Linked DNA regions of Saccharomyces cerevisiae S288C. The protein of the gene in region 1 interacts with the protein of each later gene in a biochemical or structural test. Each region holds a gene or a part of one and is shown in the gene's direction. Other genes may lie near its edges. The genes, in order: AIM23 and PET111.

Region 1 (3,689 bases):
TGGGTATCAAAGATTCATTACCACTATTGTTGGCTGCTGTTGAAGAAGGTAAATTAACCATTGATGATATCGTCCTTCGTCTGCATGACAATCCCGCTAAAATTTTCAACATCCCTACTCAGGACTCAGTTGTCGAAATTGATTTGGATTATTCTTTCAGACGTAATAAGAGATGGTCACCATTCAACAAAGATATGAACGGTGGTATTGAGCGTGTTGTCTATAATGGCGAAACATTAGTTTTGAGCGGTGAATTAGTTTCACCAGGCGCCAAAGGAAAATGCATTGTTAATCCAAGTCCAGCTTCCATAACTGCTTCCGCAGAGCTCCAATCTACTAGTGCTAAAAGAAGGTTCTCGATCACGGAAGAAGCAATCGCTGATAATTTAGATGCCGCGGAGGATGCAATTCCAGAACAGCCTTTGGAACAAAAATTGATGTCTTCAAGGCCACCAAGAGAACTTGTTGCTCCAGGCGCCATCCAGAATTTGATCCGTAGTAACAATCCATTCCGCGGAAGACATATATTGTCTATCAAACAATTCAAACGTTCTGATTTCCATGTGTTGTTTGCTGTTGCACAAGAACTAAGGGCAGCTGTCGCAAGAGAAGGTGTCTTAGATTTAATGAAAGGCCACGTTATTACTACAATTTTCTTTGAACCATCTACTCGTACTTGTTCTTCATTCATTGCTGCTATGGAACGTTTGGGTGGTAGAATTGTAAATGTTAATCCATTGGTGTCTTCTGTCAAGAAAGGTGAAACCCTTCAAGATACTATCAGAACTTTGGCTTGTTACAGTGATGCCATTGTCATGCGTCATTCAGAAGAAATGTCTGTTCATATCGCCGCTAAATATTCTCCTGTTCCAATTATTAATGGTGGTAATGGTTCTCGCGAGCATCCTACGCAGGCCTTCTTGGATTTGTTTACGATTCGTGAAGAAATCGGTACTGTTAATGGTATTACTGTTACTTTCATGGGTGATCTCAAACATGGTAGAACCGTACATTCATTGTGTCGTTTGTTAATGCACTATCAAGTCAGAATTAATCTTGTTTCTCCTCCGGAATTGAGGTTACCAGAAGGATTAAGAGAAGAGCTAAGAAAAGCTGGCTTACTTGGTGTTGAGAGCATTGAATTAACCCCTCATATCATCTCAAAGACCGATGTTCTGTATTGTACAAGGGTCCAAGAAGAAAGATTCAATAGCCCTGAAGAATATGCACGTCTGAAGGATACTTATATCGTGGACAACAAGATCTTGGCACACGCCAAAGAAAATATGGCTATCATGCATCCATTGCCTCGTGTAAATGAAATCAAAGAGGAAGTGGACTACGATCATCGTGCTGCTTACTTCAGACAAATGAAGTATGGTTTGTTCGTCAGAATGGCTTTGTTGGCCATGGTCATGGGTGTTGATATGTGAATGATAAGAGACCTATCCGTATTTTAAATTTATAATCTATTATTAAACTTTTTTAACCAATATTTTTATTTGTATATTACACTCAATAATATGATTTCCCAAAGTCGAGTTTTTATTTAAAACAAAAGATGGAATGATTTTGTAAACAAATTTTCTTGAGGAAACAAAAAATGTTTAAGGCATAGGAGTTGAAGGTAATCTCGTTCCTTTTGTCTAGTTTTCATCCTGAGCTCTTGAATTTTACCTGAATTTTCCCGCGACGGTAAGAACTTTAAGGGTCTAAAAAAGTAAGTTCAGAAAACTATAACAGCTATATATCACAAAATGCATACCTGATGCATACACAGTAAGGAGGTAACATCAGGTCCGTGGATATGTTAAAAGTTCCTTTGAGTGATGTTCTTTCACAGAAGATGCTGTTTTTAAAAAGTTTTAGATATTTTCATTGCACAAAATACTTCAGCAGAGACAATGCATCATCTACCACAGATATATTTCGCAACGCAATGAAACGTAAACGTGAGCTGGCAAATCTTAAAGAGCAAAGTCATGGAAATGTGGCAAGAAATGCTGCTTTTCCTAAAGAGTATATTAAGCGCCCGAAACAAGTGCCAAGGAATGCTACTAACAGGAAAAAAATCCTGATTACTTGGAGCACCGGGACAGATCGAGCTAAAGAGGCAGCTAATTCAGTTGTTAGTGAGATATTCAAAAAAAATCACAAGGGAAACATCAAAGTTGTGGATCCCACTACCCACCGAATTGAAGCATCCAATATTCGGTATTTTGCCAAGGGCATTGATCTCGATAAAGTTGGACTCAGTATTGTTAATGTAGAGCAAATCGATAATGAAAATCAAATTCCACTTGTTAAGATAGTCGAAAGTCGTGTAGCCTTAAAAAAATATTCAGACTTTCTGGCTAAAAAAAAGGAAAAGGAACTGATGGAATTGGGAGTACTGAATAAGTCTTACAAGAATTTGGTGACTGATAAAAAAGAAGATAACTTGAAGCATATTAAAATATCATGGCAGATTGAAAGCGATGATTTAAAAAGGCAGAAGGCTCACGAAATAGTTTCGCTATTGAAAAAAGGGAATAAAGTAACGTTATATCTTGATGACAAGAATAACATAAATTCAAACAATTGGCTTGAAAATTTTGAGGAGCTGGACCGCTCTCAAAAAGGTGAACCACCCAGGCTACCAGAATCAGTTTTCCAGAAAAGAGCTGCTGTCTTGGAGACATTGAAAGAGATAGTTAGCGAATATGCTAATGATCCTGTTCTGCTAGGTAACATGAACTCGAAAATGATAATGAAACTTATACCAAAGGACGTTAAACCACAAAACAACGATAAGAGGGCGTTAAAGGAATTGAGAAAGAAGGAGAGGCAAGAAAAATTGCAAAAAAGGATTCAGAGAAAAAAAATGAATGAAATGTAAATAGAAGCAAATGACATCAGAATATATATAGCGCATATTGCCAAATATGCTTTTCAAGTATTAAATTAATGTAATTGAACTAAACCGATGCTTGTACATAATAACTTATCATTAAAGTACCAGGATTCTACCGGTTAGCTGCATGTGATCAAAATTTCCATACCCATATTGGGGAATGCCTACTATAAGGTGATTTTGGGGACCCAAAATCATGCTATTACCAAAATTTGACACACCCTTGCTACTTTTGTCAGGATTTATGAGCATGAGATGCCTTAAATTATTAATCAAAAGGGTTTTGCGCTTCGGATCGTTTCCCGCCTTTAATAGCTCATCCATACTAATTTTCCATATACTTCCTCTTGCATCGAAACTGCCTGGGGAGGAAACGTACAATTTCTTTTCTTCGTCATTAAACAGCAAAGATGAACCAAACTCATCCGGGATTGAATCTGATTTTGTCTTAATCTTTAGAACCAGTTTTAAGAAAAACTCTATTTGCCCAGACTTCTCAATATATATAAACACAGTGTCAAACATTGGTTGAGATACGGCTACAAAACTCATACCTTCAAAATTCCAAGAATATATGGCTGCACCGAACATACCATGTTCTTTTGAGGGAATTATATGCCACTCAACGTGGTCACTGTCCTTTGCTGGAATGACGCCATTTTTCGTTATATAATATATTGGGATGGACAAATCGTGTAAATCATTACTCGAATAAACAAAAACAGTACCAAGACTTTGACATGTAATATATATTAACTTTTGTTTGTCAGTCGTGTCAGATATCTGAATTGTTGCC
Region 2 (4,820 bases), on another chromosome or scaffold:
AGTTATGTTCAGCAAAGTATTATCGCCTGTCAAGTTTAAAGAAGAGAGTAGTATATGGCGAAACTGGATTTGATGGTATCAAATTATGGCAAAACTTCAAAAGCTTAAAATGGCAATTACCTGAATCGTTGGATTTGCAAAACGTAATAATCCCTGAAGTGGGTGTAATGTTAATGAAGCAACTTAATGGAGGAGAGTTAGAAATAAAGGACGAAGCGTACTCAAGCCTAAGGGTCTTTGAATACTTTGATTCCCTGAACCTCCGCTTCAAGAATCTGCGCCGTTTGAAGCTTAATCATGTTCACAAACAAGGTGATGGGAGTGCTACTTCTATGAGATTATCTTCACGCGCGTTTAAGGATGTAGTTAATTTATCCAATCTTAAAGCCCTTGAATTAGAATTTTCTTGTGAGGTGGACGACTGTGAATGTGATGATGACTTTCTTCAAGATATAACAGGAAACCTTGTTTCCTTAACAAGTCTGGGGTTCATTGAAAAGACATTCACCAAAAAAGGGTACCATTACATGGACGAGAAATGGGACTTGGTCGTTAATAAGTTTATTTTAAATTTACCAAACGTGAGTAAAGATTTGCGTTTGTTAAGCATACGACATGACCCACCTTTAAATGGCAAGGGCATTGATACTGTTGATGGGAACTTGCTTCGCCGTAAAAAACTTTATGAAAAGGTTTTACCAAAGCTAACTTCGTTGGAAACAATAATAGCTCCAACTGTATTGCAGTCCATCACCTCATATGAAATGTATGCGTGTGACCTTTTGTGGAACGGCTGCAAATGTGCGTTCTGCTCCAAATACTTACCATTATTTGATAAGTACATCATGAATCATCAATACTTTTCGACCCCGGATGCAAGATACTTGGATATTATACCGATAGTGTTTGCAGCATATACTGGAAAATCTCTAGCTAAGAGGTTTGATCCTCAGAAGAACTGGGATTTGGATTTACTACAGTATGCCCCTGAGGATACGACGTGGAATTTCCATGGCTTTGAGAGAATTCATCACTTTGCAAGTTATGAATGTTATTTTGACGAATCCTCATTTGAGCCCTTAGCCACTATTATATCGCATTTTTTTTATCCTTACATGAACTACTTGATAAAGATATTGCCAAACCTTCGCCAAACTATGTTGTCAGGAATATACTTTAGCGTGAGCCCAGAATTACACACTTATGAAACTATTTATGATTAAACTTGATAGTTGTGATAAACATTTCTTATGTACATTTGTTGAAGGAGTTCGTATATATACAGCCAGTTGAGTAATAATTATATTTTACTATTGCATTTCATAATTATTACCCGGACCTTACGAGTTCTTCGAATAATAACCATATATTTCAGAAAGGTAGGCATACCGAAGGAAGAGACAATGAAAAAACTGAAATGAACAAGCTTCTGTATACGATCCAAGGATCAGAAACGGTTGTTATTTATTGTTTGGACTTCTTGTTGTTAGGCTTTATTTACCGTGCATAATACTATCTGATACTTTGAGAAACCCCTCCCCCCACAGAAAGGTTCAAAATTTACAATTGCTGCACTAGGTCTACACTTTCCTCTAGATTTGTAACTTGAAGACCCCATTCCAATCGTTTAACCTGTCTTTCCTTTTATTATCGTTTTATTCTCTTCCTTTTTTATAAAATTCTATCTGGTATAGAGCATTTTTATGTTGATCATAACTTTTCATGTATTCTATTAATTACACCACAACTTTGATATCGTCAAATTTTTTATCACTACCTATTAAATTTAAACAATTGCTTACGAGAACTTAATGTTACAACGGAGATTTATATCCTCCAGTGGTATAAAGAGATTACTTCACAGAGAATCAAACAAGGTTATGCACACTGTTTTCTTTAAAGTACGATATTACTCAACTGAGTTGATCAAAAAAAAGCATAAGGAAGATATTGAGGATTGGGTTAAAGCGCAACTAAAAGATTCTTCAACAATAAGCGGTGTGTATGAGTCTCGGAATAAACTCGATTGGATGGACTCCATTACCAAAAGCCCCAGCAGCTTAGATATTCTTAAGAATCAATATAATATAGTGAAAGACAAAGATTTTGGAATATTGTGGAAGCAAAAATTCGAAAGTGCAGATCCAGATATTTTGATGACAATAATTAGCCTTTCCACTAACCAAAAGGTTTTGTTTTCAATACAGCAATTACTGATCTTAATAAATTCTCTTCACTTTTTGAAAAGGGACTACGATATTGGACAAATATACACAACATATGAGCAATTCACGCCCTTATTAGCAAGCCACACTGATAAAGGCACATATGGTCAGTTCATCGAAATTATGTTGGTAGTACAGCATAATTTACATCATTTTGATGTCTGTGAAACTTTATTTGCAGAATATATCAAATATTGCAAAGTAAAGCCACAAATGATATCTTTAGGATTAAACTCTTTCATAAGGAGTAATAACACTCAACTAGCGGTGGAATTTTACACGCAAGCAATTACCAATCCTGATACATTTCCAATAACTGAAAAGCAGCTTTTTGAGTTTCTCCGATGTATGGAAAGATATCTAGATATGTCCAGTATGAAACACATCTTTTATCTCTGGTTGAAAGTGAAATGTGGTGATGAGCAATCCTCTTCAACTAACCTTCCCTCGTTCAAAACCCTCGCGATAATACACAGAATGTTATTACGTTTTTCTAATACAGATGAGCTAAACGATTTTTTAACCAATCCCGTTGTTTTAAGTACGGGATATACATCAAGTGTGCAGTTTGAGTTGATTGAATTTTGTCATTCTCTGTATTGCATCAAAGGAGACAGAACAAAAAGCATTGATGACTCAATATTGATGGAAAGAGTTGATAAATTTATTACCAGACTTAATAATAATATTTCAACACGAAAAGAGCTATATATGTCAGTGGTTCAAGCGTACGTCTCTACTAACAATTTCGAGAATTTAAAAGTAATCTTGGAAAAAATCCAGAGAGATAATGATATTAGCATAGACGGTTCGTTTCATTTGTGCATTTCTAGGTATTTTGTCAACACCAATCAATTCGAAGGACTTTTCAAATATTATCGCAGTGTAGTTAAAACCACTGATGGTAAAACGCGATTACGGCCCGCATTTATTCAACAATTATGGTCATGTGCCGTAAATGTTTATCCAATGCTGGCAAAAGAAATTACAAATGACCTACTTGTGACTCTAAAAAGGAGCCAATACAGCAAATGTCTCACTTGGGTGTACACATTTTTACAAGAAAATGCCCATATCCATACGAGAAAGATCAATGGAGGAGAAGACTCTTCGTTATCTGGTTTCAACGCGGTTGATTTTGAAAGGTTTGAAGAGTTCAAGAAAAAAGTTTCTCACAATGATGTATATGGAGCAGAATTGGTGATTTCGAATAGTTTGAAGGAGGGCATTGCGCCTCAATTTTCATTTTTGTATTCCGTTTTGGCATTATGCTTGAGAAACTCTTTAACTGGTTTGGCACGTGTAGTTGATGTGATATTAAGGACCAGATTCCGCTATATCCCACTAAAAGTCGATATATTATGGTTGAAATGGGAGATCATTTCTAATTATAGATCTTTTGAAAAGTTGTCTGCTGAACATTTAAAAGAACTGGAATTCAAACTGAAGGAATTTGAACGAGTACATCAAAAGGAGCTTTCAGTTCAAAACTATTTACAACTTACTCAAATATGTTTCCACACCCGTGATTTCAAATATGCATGTTACCTAATTTCACAAGCTAGAAAAAATTTGGATACTTCAAATAACAAACAGTGGATGATGTATTACATGACATCTTTAAAGTTGGCGTCAAGAATGCATGAAAGCGAACGGTTTAGTAGGATTTTAAAAGACTGGAATTGTAATCATAGGGCAAGCCTGATTACTCCAGGTTGCATTAGACAAATCAAAGGCTTTATGAAATATTTTGAGAAAAGGCCTGCTTACATTTCAACTGCTGCTTCCATTGATAACAAGGAGATAAAGGATCGCATTGACGAGTTAGTACTTAGATATGTGGACTATAAATACCAGGGGCTTGAGAATATGAGAAAGTTAACACTTTTCTTAAAAGAATGGTTTGATGAAGAGATTTCACTATTAAAGTTGGAGCAAAATGAAAGGAAAATGAAGCTTTTTGAAGAGAATAAAAAGGAGGAGGAGTAATCTTTTCAGTTATTTACCTTCCTTTCTCTCACGTGTAAATATTTGTGTGTCATACACACCGCTAAAAACCTTTGCATCAACTTATACCCTACATTTCTATAGACGCTATTTGGAAACAAGATGTAACCCTTTTTTTCTTTTAGTTTTGAGATTTGTACTCGTAAAGAGTACGTTTATTTATTTATTCAAATTTTATTCTTCATACCATGTAAATATAAGCGCATATAATCACTACGATCTTAGTACAGCTAGAATTGCTGACGCTTACAATTGCTTTATTGTTTGATTATATGCACGTATACATATAGTGTCAGCAAAAAAAAAAAAAGGCAGTACTTGATTGGCTACGCCGCGCATCGTCCGAGAAATCCGGCCTGGTAGGGGCAGGTTTGAAAAGGCGGATAGAAATAAAAGATGATATTATTTATTCATCCCATGAATAGTAGAACTCGATATAAGATTCTAAACCAACAAGTACAGAAAGCAAAACAATAATAAATAATGGCTAATAAAGTTATTCAACTACAGAAAATCTTCCAATCTTCCACTAAACCTCTATGGTGGAGACATCCAAGGTCAGCTTTATACCTGTATCCATTTTATGCT

What was found.
Region 2: the proteins of AIM23 (region 1) and PET111 form a complex in vitro, tested with the Saccharomyces cerevisiae proteins (one study listed by BioGRID).

What each region holds. Positions count from the first base shown.
Region 1 is NC_001142.9:163,467-167,155, reverse strand, and holds AIM23 (Aim23p), read left to right. Parts: upstream 1-1,807; coding exon 1,808-2,878; downstream 2,879-3,689. Other genes in the region: URA2 (bifunctional carbamoylphosphate synthetase/aspartate transcarbamylase), read left to right, coding at 1-1,433; YJL132W (uncharacterized protein), read right to left, coding at 2,990-3,689.
Region 2 is NC_001145.3:779,023-783,842, reverse strand, and holds PET111 (Pet111p), read left to right. Parts: upstream 1-1,811; coding exon 1,812-4,214; downstream 4,215-4,820. Other genes in the region: ROY1 (Roy1p), read left to right, coding at 1-1,223; COX7 (cytochrome c oxidase subunit VII), read left to right, coding at 4,716-4,820. UniProt on the Saccharomyces cerevisiae protein: Required for translation of the mitochondrial gene for cytochrome c oxidase subunit II (COX2).